4 linked regions of the Drosophila melanogaster genome follow. The protein of the gene in region 4 interacts with the protein of the main gene of each other region in a pairwise test. Each region holds a gene or a part of one and is shown on either strand. Other genes may lie near its edges.

Region 1 (3,043 bases), about 16 Mb from region 4:
TGCTGGGCAGCCTGCTTGGCCAGAGCCAGAGCGGCATCCTCCAGACCGCTGTTCTCGGGTCCCTTGATGAAGACCACGCGGAGTCCCTTGTTCACGGCGTTGGCAACACGGTCGGAAGCAGATGGGTCGTAGAAGTCACCCTCGTCGGCGGTGTAAGTGAAGAATTCCTTCTCGAGTTGGGCCTGAGGAGCAGCGTAGTTGGGAGCAGCAGCAGATTGAGATCCTTCCAGGGCATCAGCAATGGATGAGGGACCGGGGGCAAAGGATGCACTAGGAGCAGGCGCGAAAGCGGGTGCATCGCTGCTGGCCGATCCAGATGGCTGGAAGCTCAATCCGGAGGGAGAGTGGGCCACCGGTTGGTAATTGTAGCCAAGTTTATCGGCCGTGGCCAAGGCAATAAAGCAAAGGACGACGAAGGAACGCATGTTGACTGTTTGGATGGCAAAGATGATTGGTTACTGACTTATCGAGTCGAAATTTTGGCTTTTATAGGTGCAATATTCAGTTCTTCGGCTGCAGTATGGTGCGATATGAATTATGAACAGCTCAAATTTGCCTTAAAAATGCATAAATAAGAGATTAAAATGTTAAATTTATAATATAATTTTATGATTCGTCACACTGCTGCTGCGGTTGCAAATTTTTGCATGGCTTTGTTTTTACTGGCTCTGCGGAAAGCGGCATGCAAATTATGAGCTAACCAGAATTGGCCAGTGAGGAGGTTCATAGTCCGACTCGGATTGCCAAATCAGATGGCGCCAAGTAATTTATTAAGAGACCAATTATCGAATTATCTGATTTGGCGCTGACAAGGCGCAGTGGTGCAGTTTTTAATTGGCAACCGGCCTAGGCGATCAGAAACCATGTATATATATTAAGTAAAGATGGCTGCTATATTTAGCGATGAGTTCGATTCTTCACTTCCGGCGGATGGAAGGTCGCCTCCACCCGCAACATTAGCATAAAGCAGCTAAACACAGCGACCAAGACGACAAGACAAAGCCGCTGAATAAGGCAATAATAATTTGGCGAATCGTTAAAATATTTATTTTTGGCAGCGGTAACGCGACTAGGCGCGCCTCATTTGCATGTGAAACGGCCTGTCAAACGTTTTGTTTGCTCTCCGGCCGATTTAGGTGACACTTCTCATCCCGGGCGAACTGGGAATGGGTTTGGATTTGTGATACACATGTGATACATGAGTAACAAGGCATCCATCTAAATAGCCCCAAATGAGGTTTACGATGCTCTTGATGCTCTGTCCGCGGCTTTTTATAGCCAGATTTTATTGATTTCAACGATAAAGCTACATGAAAATACCAAAATGGCAAGGTTGGCCCACAACACTGGCCAAAAGCGGCGCCGAAGAATACGCGAATTATTGATTAAGGCAGCATATTGAATTTAATATGAATTTTATGGCGCCAGCTCCGGCTCATACATGGCCCGTACCTCTTCCTTCTGAGTTTCTACGTTGACCTCATGATGCAGCCACCCGCTTCGCTTGCATATTTTAGCGGGGTGGTACCGGTACTGCCTGATCTAGTTGGCTAAGACCGTAATTAGACCGCTTTATGCAGAGCGTTTTGCATAGCAGTGGCTTTCATCTGCATAAAAGCGAAAGAACCATCTCACACCATCATCAAATCCCACAACCACCTCACCCGCTCAACATGCGTCAGTTCTCCGTAGTTCTTTGCCTGTGCCTCGCCGTTTTGGCCAGAGCCGATAAACTCGGCTACAATTACCAACCGGTGGCCCACTCTCCCTCCGGATTGAGCTTCCAGCCATCTGGATCGGCCAGTAGCGATGCACCCGCTTTCGCGCCTGCACCCAGTGAATCCTTTGGCCCCGGTCCCTCATCCATTGCTGATGCCCTGGAAGGATCTCAATCCGCTGCTGCCCCCAACTACGCTGCTCCTCAGGCCCAACTCGAAAAGGAGTTCTTCACTTACACCGCCGACGAGGGTGACTTCTACGACCCAGCTGCCTCCGACCGTGTTGCCAACGCCGTGAACAAGGGACTCCGCGTGGTCTTCATCAAGGGACCCGAGAACCGCGGTCTGGAGGATGCCGCTCTGGCTCTGGCCAAGCAGGCTGCCCAGCAGGAGACCGCCATCTATGTCCTGAACAAGCAGGCTGACATTGGAGATCTGGCCAACAAGCTGAACTCCATCCGCAACAACAACAACAACAAGCCCGAGGTGCACTTCGTCAAGTACCGCACTCCCGAGGATGCTGCCAACGCCCAGAGTGCAATTCAGGGTCAGTACGATCAGTTGGGAGGATCTTCGCAAGCTCAAGATGGTGGAGTGGCATCCACCCTGAACTTCGCTTCCCAGCCCGCTCCTGTTCAGGCTGCCAGCAGCCAAGCGCCCGCCCAGTTCCTGCCCGCCTCCCAGCCCGAGGCTACTGCACCCATCTCCTCGTATGTGCCACCTGCCACCCCAGGTAGCTCCTACTTGCCCGCCAACATCCTGCGCCGCCTGCGTTTCTAAGTTCCTGGCATTTCCTTTGTTATTGTTGAGATTATAATACGAAATAAATTTGTTTAATAATATAAATTTTTAAGTTGTTGTTACTCTTTTTGAGAGCTATTGATATAAATGGTATAATCAGCTATTTTGAGGATTAAAAATACGTAATAAGATAGTCTGGATGCTCCTGAAATTCCCGACATTCTTGTGCTATTGTTTAGATTTGAAGACCTAATAAAATTGTTTTAAAATGTAAATTATTAGGTTGGCTTGCGGATCTTCGCGGCCAACATTCCTAGGCATATTATCAGCCAGAATTAAATTTCCGAGGCACAACATTTTCGCACTCGGCGGCTGGCAAACAAGTTCGACTTGCGTTGAATTATGAGTCCGTCCGGCTAAGCTGTTTGTGAAAATTGCAAATGAGCGGAAACCTAAGATGTTTTCTCTGGCATCGCTTTGAATAATCTGCTTCGTGTTAATCTGTATAATCTGGTGTATAACATATGGCTTATCGGCTACTTGGCTGCCCATGCCTACCTACGCACTTCGCGGTTCGAAATTGA
Region 2 (7,617 bases), on a different chromosome or scaffold from region 4:
TCATGGAGATGATGACTGGCGAGTAAGCATTGTGGACCCAACGTATCTCATAATTGTCTACCCCCCAACACCCGAGGCTTGAATAAACGTTTTGTATTTTATTTCTACGATTGAGTAATCATAATTACGCTATAAATAATCCGCTCGTTCAGGAACCGATTGAGTAGAAAAACCCAAAGCGCGGCAAACATTCTATGGCTGCAGTGCATCTGCATCCGAGTTGAGTCATCTTAATTGCCAATTGCCACCCTCTGGCGTGCGGATTATTATTAAATTTCAATGTTTGTGCAATGGGCTGGGAGTGGGCGTGGCCGCTCTGCTCATTTGTGTGTTAATTTGGCAAGGCCATTCGGCGTATGAGTGATGCATGTTGCGCATACGCAACGTGGCCAGATGCATGCGGAGTTCTTTGTTTCAATCTTTCCGCTATTACTTGCGGCAGTGCGTGCACATTCCGTTTGCCACTTGACTGGCGTTCTGGTCCGCACAGCTGTGACCATCCCAAGCAGAATAAGGCCCACTGACAACCTGCTAGATTTTTGCCTTTCCAAACAGCCAATGTAGTATATCATAGCTATGCATGCAGGCTGGCAAATGTCAATGAGCATTCTCCTTGTTGCCAAAAGATGTCAAGCATTTACGCTAAACTTGGCCGCCGCGACATGCAGTGAGTTTGTTTTCCCAAATTCAGCGAAAAGAAGCAACTGCCCTTTCTGAAAAGTTAGCGAAAAAAAAGGAGAAGGGGCTTGGGGCAGATCGATGTGGATGGGTTGGGGTTTGGATGTTGCCACCAAGTGGAGCAACTTGTTTTGCGCAATGCTTAGTCTTTCGGCCGGAGGGTGTCGATATTAGTGGTATTTATTACCGCTTCGAATCCAGTTTTCAGTTTTTACCCAATCATTAGGTGAAAGGTCACAGACTGGACCTGGACGCCCTGTGAAAGAGCTGAAAATGTGGCGGATTGTGTTGGGTGTCAGATTTATTGACATCCGCCTGGGCAGACTTCTCAATATGCGATTCTTGACACCGAGCGCATTAAAACGGTTTCCCAAACGTGCAATTCAATGGAGATGAAGCTGAATGATGATGATGCGCTCGAGCGTTGAGCGTTTCGATTGGATTCCAATTTACGAGCACCACCAGCAGCAGTTGCTTGCTTGCTAATTTTTACCCACTAACCGAGGAGAGATGTGGCTGAGAGCGTTTGTTTAACAAGACAAGGTACATTGAGTAAACGAGATGCCGCCGTTGAGACAATAGTCAAAATGCATGGGCTTGCGGATGAGGATGCGGGGGCACCACCACCTCCTCCTCCCTTTTTCGTGCGATTGTTTTCTGCCCCAGCTGGGGACGGAGCCTCAGCTAGCACCACCACCATCACCACCACAGCTGCACACGATTGCAATAAATGCCATAAAGTATCAAAATCTCAGCACTCGCTCAGCACCGAGCTCCAAGCTGCAAGCGGCAAGCTCCGGCTGCAGTTTTCGTTCATTCCATTCCATTTGATTGCATTTGGCGCCAAACCAAGTATAAAAGCTGGAGAACTTGGGCTGCGATCGGCACACAAGTACCGTGACATTCGAGGAGCCACAACACGACACGCGGAGGCACTGCATCGCTGGTGCGGCAAAGGACTTACGTGGATTAACCCAGCTTTGTGGATAAATTAAGCAGTGGATAAATTGTGGGTGCGCCAAGGATTCTTCTTCTTAATCCTCGATCGAAACAATCAAAAGATTGCTGTCATGGCTCTTAAGTGGGTAAGTTCAGTGAAAGAGGAAAGTAACTTTGGGTTAGAAAATTCAAAAGATCCAAGTGTTCTAATGAAGAGTCCTTTGAAACTCCATATGCTGTTGTGGTTAGAAATTATTGTAGAGCTTTACTAATTTTTCCCGAAAAGTATCCTTCTTGAGATAATGACCTAGATTCAAAAATATATTTCAATGTTTGAATATAATATTCATATTTATATTCATATTTTCCGTTTTTATTCTTTTCGGATTTTTTACATTCATTACATTTTTACATTTTACATTCGAATGCAAAGATCTTAATGCTTCAAATTTAATTAAATTGATTTCATTACCCAATTTAATTTAAATGAAAGTAAAGTTACGAATTTTACCTTAGAATAAAGACATTCAATTATTTTAGTCTAGGGAATTGTCTCATCAGAAATCTGTATTAAATTGGCATAGGAATATTCTTATTCATCAAGAGTTTATAACTTTTCAGGAAACTTTGATTTAGTTAATTATTTAATCTCAACTTGGCAACTCATAAAATTCCGCGAAAAAGAACATGCCTAAACAATAGGCCACTGGAGTGTCCCATCTTGGATATTTTAGCACAGCCAAGGGTTTCCCCATTGCACTTAGCATATCCGATTGTCTTGAAAAGATCGAGTAATCCCCGTGAAACGCATAAATTAACAGCCCATTTGCAATCGGAGATGGTGGATGGCACGCAAAGTTGCCCAAGATGGTTTGGTCGTGGCCGATCCGCCCCGCCTCCAAAGCAGATCATCGAAATGGAAGCAGTGGCGACCCAATTGGCAGCCCATTTGCAATAACCGCAATTATATTTGCGGTTGCGAAACGCTGTCGAAGATGTCTGCTAGGTGGTCACGAACTCCAAGAGGCTCTCACAGACTCCTCAAGATATTCCGGCCCAAGGGGCAGGCGTTGCTTGTTTCGGTTGCATGTGCCACAGTCGCCGGATGAGTCAGTGTGGCAAATGTCAGAATTTCCACAATATTACATTATTACACTGCCCGGCTGTGGCGACAAGTGAGCTCATCATCGTGCCAATCGATGGAGCTGTTAGGTTTATGGCCCAATGGAATTCGTAAACGGTTTAAACTTCAACTTGACACTCGCTGGTCCGCTCCGCTTAGCCAACCTTCCCAGCCAGCAATTCTCTGTGGCACTCTCGGTTCACACGCTGCTGCATCTTCAGACGTCTTCTGTCTAACAAGAAGTCCATAAATATCATAGTTCGCCTCAGGCTGAGACAATGATGAGCCAGCCCGATGTTGATACTATAGTCAAGAGTCCCCGCTGCACTTGCAGCCTTAATGGGCGACGACGATCGGTTGCAACAATGGAAAACGTGAGCGGATCGGATTGCGTCGTTCTGTCAATGGACAAATGCTTCATTGATGAAATGGCCGACATTTGGCCACACTCTTGACCCCTTTGGAGGTTCCCAGCGGCGGGGTCATGATACCCACTTGGCCGAGATGTGTATCAGGGCTTAATTAACAGCAGAAACAATTCAAGGTTCTTCTTGTAATTTGAAGTTTGGAAAAAGCTTATCGTTTATTTTTGGAACGAACCATTGCTGTTTAACTTAAAATACACATTTATTACAAATAATTACCAAAATGCTATCATGAGTAAAGTACAGTTGTAAAAAATGACATAATGTTAGTAAGACATTAAAAATCGTTTAAAAGTATTTCTTAATACGAATAATTCGAAAATAATAATTTTCAGACGCTTAACATTATTTTAAGTTTAAATACGTCCTTGTGCTCAAGCAACAAAAGTTTATTCGAATAACACTTTTTATGGCGGTCGTTAAATGACTATTTCATTACATTTAGCAGCCTTTTTTCATGTTATCTTCAGATTTATGAATTAGCCGCAGTTAATGAAGTTAAATTTTAAACAATTAGCCACCCCTGCGATTTTTCACTGGCATTTATTTTGCAATCAAATAAGTCAACACGCCAAAGATTCGCTTCAGGCCAAATTGAGAACGTGGATCGCGATGGAAGATGCTGGATTCGCATGAACTTTCCATGTGCTTGCATAAATTTGTGAACTTACCGGGCAATCCCTACCTGCAACGATCTTTTTCAGGCTCTGGTGATCACGACGCTGGTGGTTGCCCAAGCAGCCAAGCTGGATAACAAATACCTGCCCCCACCTGCAAGTGCGGCCAGTGCGGGCGGCAGTCCGGGAGCAGGGCTTCAGGGCCCAGGAGGTGGCTTCGGCGGAGGTGGAGGATTCGGTGGCGGCGGAGCGGGTGGAGGTTATGGAGGAGGCGGCGGTGGCGGACCAGCTGGCGGCTTCGGTGGAGGACCAGGCGGTGGCGGTGCTGGTGGCTTTGGTGGTGGTAATAACGGACTTGGTGGCTTCGCAAACGGAAGACCCATTGCACCTGGCGGCGGCGGCGGAGGCGGCGGAGCACCCGCTCCACGCCCCAGTCCGTCAGGTGGCGCGCCACCAACTTCTGGACCTCCCATTCCGATCCTCTCATTTGTCAACGAGAACGACGGCGATGGCAACTACCGTTTCAGCTACGAGACTGGAAATGGTATAAAGGCCCAGGAGGAGGGCACCGTTAAGAACAAGGGATCTGAGAATGAAATCCCATCCGTGATGGGCTCATACTCCTACACAAATCCCGAAGGTGAACTCGTCGAGATCATGTACACGGCGGATGAGAATGGCTTTGTGCCCTCGGGCAACGCCCTGCCCACTCCACCGCCCATTCCGGAAGCGATAGCCAAATCTCTGGCTGCCCAGGGCATCTCCATACTGCCGGGTGGTGGATACAGTGGCGGTCCTGGAGGACAGGGTAAGTTTCTACAAAATAAATCAATGGATTAACATTCCATTTCATTGCTCACTTTTGATTGCAGGAGCAGGTGGCGGCGGAGGCGGTGGTTCGGGATATGGAGGCGGATCCGGATTTGGAGGCGGCGGCGCAGGAGGAGGATCCGGTGGAGGCGGAGGTGGAGCAGGAGGTGGCGGTGGATATGGATCAGGTAAGATACGAATTCAAGTCACATTTTGACCCTTTTTCTTTTTTTAGTCTTTTTTGACTTTAACTTTGATTATTTTTAGGAGGCGGCAGTGGTCGTGGAGGAGCACCAGGAGGTCCAGGTAACGACTGATTTATTTATACAATTTTTAAAAATGTTAACCCCTATTAGATTAATTTAATACTTTATCGATTCGTTTGCTTCTTTAGGTGCGCCAGGTGGAGGCGGATTCGGAGGTCAAGGTAAGTTATGTTCCAACGGCTTACACATGGATCTAAAATACTATTTATTTTTTAGGAGGTGGAGGAGGCTATGGAGGAGCTGGTGGCGGAGCTGGTCGTGGTGGTTCCCCAGGAGGTCCTGGTAAGTCCTTTTTCTAGATGAAATTTATTGTTCCTAAAGAAAATCCGTCTTAATTCACTTCATGAATTTATATTTATTTTCATATATTTCAGGATCACCTGGCGGCGGCGGATTTGGTGGTCAAGGAGGTGCTGGCGGCGGTTATGGTGGTGGCGGCGGCGGAGGACGCGGCGGTGGCGGAGCACCAGGAGCTCCCGGTAAGTTAACGAAAAGTGTTACTCCATAGATACTCAAAACTAATAACTTACTTCAACTAAAGGATCACCTGGCGGTGGAGGTTTCGGAGGTCAAGGTAAGTGATCCCGCCTGACTTTGCGGTTCAAGTTAAAACTATATACACTTTCCAGGTGGAGGCGGAGGATTCGGAGGTGGCGGCGGACGCGGCGGTGCTCCTGGCGCTCCCGGTGAGTTCATGATTTCATTCACTTTATATAATAGATAACACATTGCTTATTTTCAGGATCACCAGGCGGAGGCGGATATGGTGGCCAGGGAGGTGCTGGCGGCGGCTATGGAGGCGGCGGCGGTCGCGGTGGTGGTGGAGCACCAGGTGCGCCAGGAGCACCAGGATCCCCAGGTGGTGGCGGATTCGGAGGTCAAGGTAAGGGATTTTAAAACTTACTGCACATTCACCTCGAATAATACATTCATCTTGTAGGAGGTGGTGGCGGATTCGGAGGAGGTGGTGGTCGTGGAGGTGCCCCAGGAGCTCCAGGTGAGTACAAAACATAAATTGTTTGTTACTGAAAATAAGGAATTATTAATTAATAGGATCGCCTGGTGGAGGAGGATTTGGCGGTCAAGGTTAGTTAGCAAAACAATATTCCAGTTGCAGGTCTTAAGTAAAACATCTTCATCTTGTAGGTGGGGGTGGCGGATACGGAGGCGGCGCCGGTCGTGGTGGTGCTCCTGGAGCTCCTGGTAAGTCGATTTTAATATCTGCCTAGTGGCTTTAAAAACATACCATTCGTGTTTCGCAGGCTCTCCCGGAGGAGGAGGATTCGGAGGCCAAGGTTAGTAACTTAGTAACAGTACACTGTGCATTCCACAAAACTTACGAAATTCTTCAAGTTTCCGACTACTTGTTAAACTGTGTTATAAATATTATAATAATTAAAGTAATATTTATTTTTTAGGAGGTGGTGGTGGCTTTGGCGCCGGCGGTGGTCGCGGTGGAGCTGGAGGAGCACCCGGTGGACCCGGTGAGTAACATTGGTTTTTGTGATGAAGAGGTCACTCTCCCAATTTGTCACAACATATAGATGGTATTTACATTTTTTAATGTAGGATCTCCAGGCGGTCCAGGTTATGGAGGAGGTGCCGGTGGACCGGGTAAGAAGCATTATAGTTATAAACCCGGTTTTACAATCTGTGTGATTGCAATTGTAAAACTTGAATTAGCCTCATTCATCTTCATGAGAAAATGATGTGAAGAGCTACACTAGACAAGTGCTATTCCCACACATTTCAGTTTTTTTATTTTGACAATTCTTGTTTGGCAAAGCCTTGGTCTATTGTTTTACCCACGATCGACTAACGATCTTTCATGCATAAAACATTTCGGCTTGCACGCGGTCTCTTTGAAGTCGCTAGATTATAATAATTTTAAAGACTGCTTTAAATAATTACAACTAATCAAAGAGGGTTTACATAAATTTAATGCCACTCTAATCGCGATTGTTTCCATTTTTTATCTAGGAGGCGCCGGTGGACGTCCAGGCGGACCAGGATTGCCCGGCAATCAGTATGTTCCACCAGCGGCTGGTGGCGGAGCACCCGGCTCGCCAGGCAGACCAGGATCGGGAGGAGTTCCCGGCACAGGATCACAGTACATTCCACCTGCTCCGGGAGCGCCGGGCGGAGGTCGTGGAAACGGAGAGTTCAATCCTCAGACGGGCTATAGCTACTAAAATCAGAATTTATTCCAAAACGCCAATCAAATCTCTCAAATCGAAGAAACGTCATTTCCGTGCAGGCTGCCCTCAATGTTCTTTCGCTAAAACAATTAATTTATTTATATAAGCTTACCTCCCTCTTCCACTCTGACAATGTGTGTGTGCAACTATCGAAATAAATGATTATTATAAAATATTTGCTTATCATTTTGCGCCGCGTAAGCTGCGGAAATTGAAACAAACTGCTTGACTTTTCAGATGCATGTATTTCATGCCTTTGAGTTGCGACTACATCTTCAAACTAATCAATCATTTAAATGACATTAATTTGTCGTTATTTCTTTGGGGACTTCTTGAAGCGTCTGCCGTACTGATTATAGCCATATGGATCCACCAGGTTGTTCGGTCTGCCCCTCAGTTGTTGGGTGATTAGGGCCTGTTGCTGCTGCTCGTTTTGCTGCTCCTTCTGCTGCTGTTGCTGCTGCTGCTGTTGTTGCTGCTGCTGCTGCTGTTGCTGGTTGAGATTCTGCTGCTGTTGTGCCTGTTGTGCAGTAAGATTGCTGCCAAACGATTGCTGGCCAA
Region 3 (3,937 bases), on a different chromosome or scaffold from region 4:
CCTGTACCTGTTCGAGTGCTATGATCGCTTCGGGCAATCGCTGGCCGAACGCTGCGATTGCCGTGGCTTCTTCGCTAGCTGCTCTGCATTGGTGGATCGACGGAAGTGTATTCGTGAGCTGTGTACCACCATCGTGAACACACGAAAGGGAGAAACTCATGCACCACTGCTTCATCTTTCGCATCGAACGTTGGCCGAGATTCAGCCTGCGTGGAGTGAGATCGGTGATTTGGACTGGTCGGCAATACGCCAATCGGATGCGCTTTCTTCCAGCGATTTTATCAATCCCGATCTTCAGCAGATGCGACGGCTAGTCAAGCGGATTGGCCGCTTATCCAGCCTTGAGGACATGCAGACCGCAATAAAGCGCTCCATGGAGCTGATTGAGTACCAGGTGTGGCTGCAGCTTTTTAGGGAGCCAAAGGACAGCGAAATTCACAAGGATTGCTACCTAATGCGCCACATGATCTGTGACACTTTATCGGAGGGCGGATCTACCGCTTGCACCGGCTTCCTGCACAATATCTTTCTGTTCGTATCGCAATCCGCCAATGAGATGAGATTCTGGGCCAGTATGGAGCATGTACGTCTGGCCGGCAGCCTTATTGCCTACCTAATCGACCATTGGAATCGCCACCTGCCCTACCTAGACTTGGATGAGATGCAATTGACCGCTGATGCACCAGTCACGGCTGTCTCGCAGCTGCCCGTGAACGAGGCCACATACATAACCTACCTGATGCTGGCCACCGGATCCATATGTCGCCGGCAGTTCGCCCAGCAGCTGCGTGCCCAACTACCCCCCAATTCCTGGACACATTTGCTGGAGCTGCTAAATAAAGTGGCATTCGTTTTCACTTAACTACACTACGAGTTTAATCATGTTTCGGCAAAAACTCGCAGTTGCCATCGGTCAGGCGAACCACCTTCTCGCCCTTCTCGGCCAGGATCTCCTCGATGTTGCGCTTGCCGTCCAGATCTGTGAACCAGTTCAGATTGTCGGCGATCAGGTGGTGATTGGAGCAGCCCTCGCAGGTCACGATAACAACGCCGCGTTGGTATGCCAGCTTCGAAATGGTCTTCATGTTCCGGGTCTGGCACACCTTGCAGGTGTAGATCAGCTGCATCTTGGCCTCCAGTTTCGCCAGAGGAATGCTATTCGTGGCCACCGTCTTGTCCGCATCGTCCTGGGAGCAGAGCAAAATAATTATACTTAACTTTTTTGTTATACATAATTTTAAATATTGCATTCCATTTATAATATTTTAAATTACAAATGTAAATAACATTATTTAATATCAATTGGGTAGTTTATTTGTATTTACAACTGATTTCCAAACATACCACTGGCTTACTGCAGTGTATACTGCGGCAAATGCACGTGTAGTTGTTGCTGCTGCTAAAAACAGCTGTTTGTGTTTTGGTTGCAAAGTGATGCACTTGCAACTGCAATTGTGGACTATTTAAAGCATCAATTTGTGTTCTTCGGGAACTGGTAAGTAGTGCGCCTCTTCTCACACCTGCGCTGATTTTATAAAATTTTTTTAGGGCGGACATATCCTCGATTTTGTTGATATTATTTAACTCAATCGAAAAGTGTGAAATTCATTTAAACTTAGAGATGGCACCTCCTTTCATTTCAAAACTAGTCGCGAGTCACGATTTTAAAAAGTTACTATAGCTGTCACTGGTGCTGATAAAATTTGCTGTAACTCACAGACATTAAAACCAATTGTTAATATAAATTCTACTGTGAAATATTAAGTTAAGTTATTAATGAAGTCCACCTGGACTCTGGGGCTTAAAAATAACTTATTTTTCAAACAGGTAGTAACCGTTTCTCCGCTATCCCGTGACACTGCCAATCGATGACATCTGTTAATGCCATCTCACGTGATACTATCGACAGTACTATCGACCATCTGGTAGTAAGCACTCATATTTTCGAATTTTTTTTGTGGAAATTCTCGAGTCAAACAAATTATATAAAGGGCACGAACCGATGGCGACACGTGTGGTGGCAACGGCGACAGTGCGGGCGGTGAAAGGCCGGAAGTTAATCCCGACGCGGGCCGCTCTGACTCTGGTAAGGAAACCAAAACCTGGTGAAATCGGCGCATGCTGCTGCTGATGAAGTAACAGTCCCCTTCGATCTGATGATTCTGATCTCCCCCAATCCTTTTCAGACACCCGCGGCGGTGCTACGCATCAAGACGCTTCTGCAGGACAAGCCGGACATGGTGAGTGACTGCTGACAAGTTGTCATCGAACCAAGGCTACACTTTAGTGGGCATTCTATCGCCTTCCACGATTGAGATCTTGATAATCTCGCCTAGCTCTTTAAAGGTTCCCGTGCATGTTATTTAAGTTTTAGCACTGGTTGCATGGAGTATAGGAAGTTCGCAAGAGGGCTTCTTCAAGCATTATATTTGACAATAGGCTTTTTCCTCAGTCAGTCATATATTTTAGCGCAAATTATTAGCTATAAATATAAGCCATGCTAACTAATTCGGCCTGCGTTAATCAGCTAGATTTTCCAAATTTTGACCCGACCAAATTTTGATGAGCATGTTTATCTTGTTGTTAATCATTTAGTTTTTAAGTGATTAAATTCTTTGAATTGAGACAGACTTATTAGAATACCGAGTTCTTTGTCTTTGGTCAATAAACAAGGCTGCCTATAAATTAGCCACACAGTTAATGACAGAAATTCGATGTTGTTTCTGCCACAGGTTGGCCTAAAGGTGGGCGTACGGCAGCGAGGATGCAATGGTCTGTCCTACACGCTGGACTATGCCAGCCAAAAAGGTAAGCCACTCTGGACAGAATGTTGTTCGGTGGAGATCTAATGCTGCGTTCTGTGTCGATTTTTGCCAGCAGACAAGTTGGATGAGGAGGTGGTCCAGGATGGCGTCAAGGTCTTCATCGACAAGAAAGCGCAGTTGTCGCTGCTGGGTAAGTTCATACCAGCTTAGCATAGCATTGGACAAGCCAGCTAATACAGAGTATAATTCGCTTGCAGGTACCGAGATGGACTTTGTGGAATCGAAGCTGTCCAGCGAGTTCGTGTTTAACAATCCGAACATTAAGGGCACATGCGGCTGCGGCGAATCGTTCAGCATGTAAACCGATGGAGATCCGGAGGAGATCCGCCGGCACCCGCCTCGCAGACAGACCTAAATTAACTAAGTTAAATGCAGTACGCGGCCCGACCTTGTATCTCATTACGTTGTTGGCAAAAGCACCGCATCCTTTGTAAATTTTACTTCGCAAACGAATTCTAAATATTAAGTTGTGTTCTATAGTTAAATTTTAGTTGTAGCGCTAGGTAAGTGACGCACCCGCTTCCTTGCCGCAGGCTGGCAGTTTGTCCTCTTTAGCCCTAGTTCAATATATAGACAAGGAATGTTCTAGAAAACCCATGTGCAAATCAAGTTTATTATTGAAAAAATACTTCGACTACGTGCATGTTACCGCTGATTGATACCCTGGAAACCGTACTCCTCGTAGTCGTCTTGCGTGTAAACAAACTCTTCAAAGTTGGGGCTGGTCGCAACCTCCTTGCCGCCGTACCACGCGTACCGCACCGGATCCTCGGGACAGATGAGTGACACTTCAAGATCGTCGGGCACCAGGGCACGTAAATCGCGCTTTAGGCGCGGCAGAAATCCCGGAAACTGGGCACTGCCGCCCACAATAAGGATGTTGAGCAGGAGTTCGCGGTGCGCTTCCCAGGGGCAAGCCTTCAGACAATCGGCCACCGCTTCCGGAATGCCCACCTGTTGCACACCAATGTCCGAGGGATTGAAGAGCAGCTCGGGCACGGTGAAACGTTCATTGCACAGCGACACCATTTGCTGTTGCTCCTCATCCTCGCGCGGCTTTCCGGGAACACGAACATAGCCCCGTTTGACGGTGGTGAAGTCTGGAAGGACAT
Region 4 (3,185 bases):
ATATTCAAAAAAAGACTGAGTCATGAAGAGAGTCCATGTGGACAACTACACACCGAAGTACTATAGTGGCAAGTGGTCCTGGAGCGCCGAAAAGGATTGCCTGGAATTCGAGCCGCACAACGATCTGGAGAATGCCAGGGAGCGCTACATCACCACCAATGGCTATAAGTTCCTGCGCATCATCGACCAGGAGGAGGAGCTTATCTTCCGGCAGGCTTACGTGCGGGATACGGGCACCTATGACTTTGACACCTTGGTGATCAACGACATCCGTGACCTGGTCCTCTTCCTGATGCCCAGCGATTTTCTGACCTACCGGTTCGTGGAGTTCATGCACCGCCCGGCGGTTCACCGTCTGATCCATGCGCTCATCATTTATTTCGAATACTTTCTGCGTATGGTGGAGTTTGTGCTGGTGCGGCGCGACGAATTGGCCGATCAGATCCAGAGCGATCAGACCATCGATATGAAGAAGACATTCTCGATCTATCTCAGTCAGTATCGCCTCCTGGTGGCCCGCAACTACAGTGTGATTCTGAAGGGAGAGGGCGATATGGCCAAATACTACCATATGAAGGAGATTATCAATATTTCGGATACCAGTCGCGACCGCGTCTTCCACGAGCAGTTTCTGGCCGTGATGACCCAGATTGTTTGGATCTGCATGCATCGCCGTGCGTACAATGTCATTGAGATGGAAATGAACCGTCTGTTTCGTTCCGATCACTTTGTTATGGCACGTCCGGAGTATCTGAGCTTTACGCCGGCGGAGCGCAGTTTACTGTACGGTCGGAACCATAAAATCGTTAACTATCGCACCCAGATATCGCCGCTCGTCCAGGAGTTGGAGCACGTGGCGGAGGAGGACATGCCCATCCTGTGGATTGGCGAGCGAAAGTACCGAGGCAACGACAAGCGCATTGCCGAGATGGAGCTGGAGTACATTGTGCCGGGACCACAGCTGCGTATGATCGATGTGGCACACGGCATACTGGGACATCCGAAGGATCTGTACAACACCATCCTAGACCTGGACTGGCCCACAGTTCGCTACTCAAACTTTTCGCTTGGCTACGATCCGTACCACATCATTCGCCAGCCGCACTTGGACATTCCCAAGATCGACGCCTTGAAAGCGCGCAAGATGAATGAAAACTACGAGCATTTCTACAAGGTGTATCGCATCTACGAGCCGCACAGCGTGCAGATCCTGCAGAAGTGGCTCAAGCGGGACAAGCTCGTCCAGTTCTATCGCTCCGGGGGACTGCTGCTCACCAACGTGGTATCCCGGTGCGAGAAGGAACTGGCCGAAAAGGTACCGGTAACCAAGGTCGACCAGGTCATATCCAATTACTTTAAGGTGAAGTCCAGGCTGCGCAAGGGATCTCCATATGAACCGGACAACGTTAGCATCACCTCCTCGCGGATCGGGGGCTTCAATTCGCCGCGCCAAAAGAAAACGCCACAGGAATACTATTTCGATTGATTTGAGGTCGTACACATCCATTAGGTTTTCAAGAGACTTCAAATACTTCAAAATTATTTATTCGTGAATAAAATACTTATAAATCTTGAAAGCTTGGCAATATTGTTGTTACTAATATTGTAGGATATTACTAGTATTTTTAAAAAATTGTATTGGATTTTTAAGGTATATATTTCCGCTTTAAAATGCGAACCGTAGACTTATCGTTCCCAGTGTTTCAAATGGCAGATCAGCTGATCCCCAGATAAGGCTATCGTATCAAAATCTGTCCACCTCGACAGCTCTGTGCAGTAGTTGCTCGATAGACACGGTTCAGTAGAGATCTTCTTCCGACCAGAATCATGTCCGCTCCGCCATATCGTCATTTTACCCAAATTGGGGATCCTGTTCTGCGCCAAAGGGCAGAAGAGGTGCCGCCCGAGGACATCGATAGTAGGGAGATCAACCAGATTATTGACGGCATGGTAAAGGTGTTACGTCACTACGATTGCGTGGGCGTGGCTGCGCCCCAAGTTGGAATACCGCTGCGTATTATCGTTATGGAATTCCGAGAGGGAAAGCAAGAGCAATTCAAGCCGGAAATCTACGAGGAGCGTAAGATGTCCATACTGCCCTTGGCCGTAAGTAAAGCTTTTCTTTTCGCGTTCGAAAAATATATGTAAATCTATGCAGTTTTATAAACGTATGAATTTGAGAAACTAAATTTCTGCATACAAAAATATTGCTTATGTGCAGCAACAATCCCGTGATTTCTCATCATAAATCATTTGCTTGCAGGTCTTCATTAATCCGGAGCTGGAGATAATCAGCAGCCAAGTAAACAAGCATCCCGAAGGTTGCATGAGTGTGCGAGGCTATTCCGCTGAGGTGGAACGGTACGATAAGGTCCGGATCCGGGGGATCGGCAAGCTGGGCACTCCGTCGGAAATGGAACTGGAGGGCTGGAACGCACGGATCGCCCAGCACGAGGTGGATCACCTTAATGGAACTATCTACATGGATAGGATGGATCTCTCCACCTTCAACTGCATCCTCTGGGAGCAAATCAACGCAGCTGAAGGTCGATCCGCCATTTGGTTTCACAAGTAATAACTTGGTTGCATTTAATTCAAGGAGCTTTTCACTTTTTTATGGCGCTTTATACAACATATTTGTATATTGTTTGAAAATAAAATACACTTCTGAAATGAATGCGCTGTTTACGAAATAAACTTTGTGTGCGGGGAAAAAGTATTTTATGCACCTAGCATATATTTAAAAGCGCGCCAAATATCAAATCTATTTCCACCGATATATCGATAGGTACATACTTTCACATCCCTAGCCGGTCAGCTGGCCAGTATGACCGTGTTGTGTAACTATATTCCCTACGATTTTGATCGGAATATTAAAGGAGGCTAAACATTTCACAAAATGCACCTGAAACCACGGATAAAAGTATGCCAAGCGATTCTGGGACATTGTCGATCCTTTGGAACGAGTCCTCCCGCTAATCAGTCGTTCAGGAAGTGGTACCAGCACCTGTGGACCACGGAGCGCACAAACTTGCCGCCATACAACCATTTCACCCAGATTGGTGACCCTGTTCTTAGGCAACAAGCGGCTTTGGTGCCCAAGGAGCACATGGCTAGCCCCGAGATTAAGGCCATCGTCGAGCGGATGGTCAAGGTGCTAAGGAAGTTCGACTGCGTCGGCATTG

The links.
Region 1: the proteins of CG31373 (region 4) and TwdlJ interact in a two-hybrid assay, tested with the Drosophila melanogaster proteins (one large-scale study listed by BioGRID).
Region 2: the proteins of CG31373 (region 4) and Cpr47Ef interact in a two-hybrid assay, tested with the Drosophila melanogaster proteins (one large-scale study listed by BioGRID).
Region 3: the proteins of CG31373 (region 4) and MagR interact in a two-hybrid assay, tested with the Drosophila melanogaster proteins (one large-scale study listed by BioGRID).

Annotation. Positions count from the first base shown.
Region 1 is NT_033777.3:26,628,283-26,631,325, forward strand, and holds TwdlJ (TweedleJ), read left to right. Parts: upstream 1-1,635; 5' UTR 1,636-1,673; coding exon 1,674-2,498; 3' UTR 2,499-2,543; downstream 2,544-3,043. Other genes in the region: TwdlK (TweedleK), read right to left, coding at 1-425.
Region 2 is NT_033778.4:11,266,523-11,274,139, reverse strand, and holds Cpr47Ef (cuticular protein 47Ef), read left to right. Parts: upstream 1-1,564; 5' UTR 1,565-1,748; coding exon 1,749-1,763; intron 1,764-3,869; coding exon 3,870-4,590; intron 4,591-4,654; coding exon 4,655-4,780; intron 4,781-4,859; coding exon 4,860-4,898; intron 4,899-4,986; coding exon 4,987-5,019; intron 5,020-5,074; coding exon 5,075-5,140; intron 5,141-5,232; coding exon 5,233-5,337; intron 5,338-5,399; coding exon 5,400-5,432; intron 5,433-5,487; coding exon 5,488-5,544; intron 5,545-5,600; coding exon 5,601-5,741; intron 5,742-5,798; coding exon 5,799-5,855; intron 5,856-5,911; coding exon 5,912-5,944; intron 5,945-6,004; coding exon 6,005-6,061; intron 6,062-6,120; coding exon 6,121-6,153; intron 6,154-6,276; coding exon 6,277-6,342; intron 6,343-6,427; coding exon 6,428-6,472; intron 6,473-6,838; coding exon 6,839-7,050; 3' UTR 7,051-7,225; downstream 7,226-7,617. Other genes in the region: TpnC47D (troponin C at 47D), read left to right, coding at 1-26; Cpr47Ee (cuticular protein 47Ee), read right to left, coding at 7,370-7,617.
Region 3 is NC_004354.4:15,732,367-15,736,303, forward strand, and holds MagR (magnetic receptor), read left to right. Parts: upstream 1-1,903; 5' UTR 1,904-2,002; coding exon 2,003-2,086; intron 2,087-2,186; coding exon 2,187-2,240; intron 2,241-2,732; coding exon 2,733-2,808; intron 2,809-2,877; coding exon 2,878-2,955; intron 2,956-3,022; coding exon 3,023-3,126; 3' UTR 3,127-3,414; downstream 3,415-3,937. Other genes in the region: CG8191 (uncharacterized protein), read left to right, coding at 1-862; CG12379 (uncharacterized protein), read right to left, coding at 876-1,187, 1,345-1,557; Arp6 (Actin-related protein 6), read right to left, coding at 3,471-3,937. UniProt on the Drosophila melanogaster protein: Involved in the assembly of mitochondrial iron-sulfur proteins. Probably involved in the binding of an intermediate of Fe/S cluster assembly. Required for maintenance of circadian rhythms under constant darkness.
Region 4 is NT_033777.3:10,707,977-10,711,161, reverse strand, and holds CG31373 (uncharacterized protein), read left to right. Parts: upstream 1-1,797; 5' UTR 1,798-1,827; coding exon 1,828-2,106; intron 2,107-2,263; coding exon 2,264-2,575; 3' UTR 2,576-2,675; downstream 2,676-3,185. Other genes in the region: CG14689 (uncharacterized protein), read left to right, coding at 23-1,486; CG31278 (uncharacterized protein), read left to right, coding at 2,900-3,185.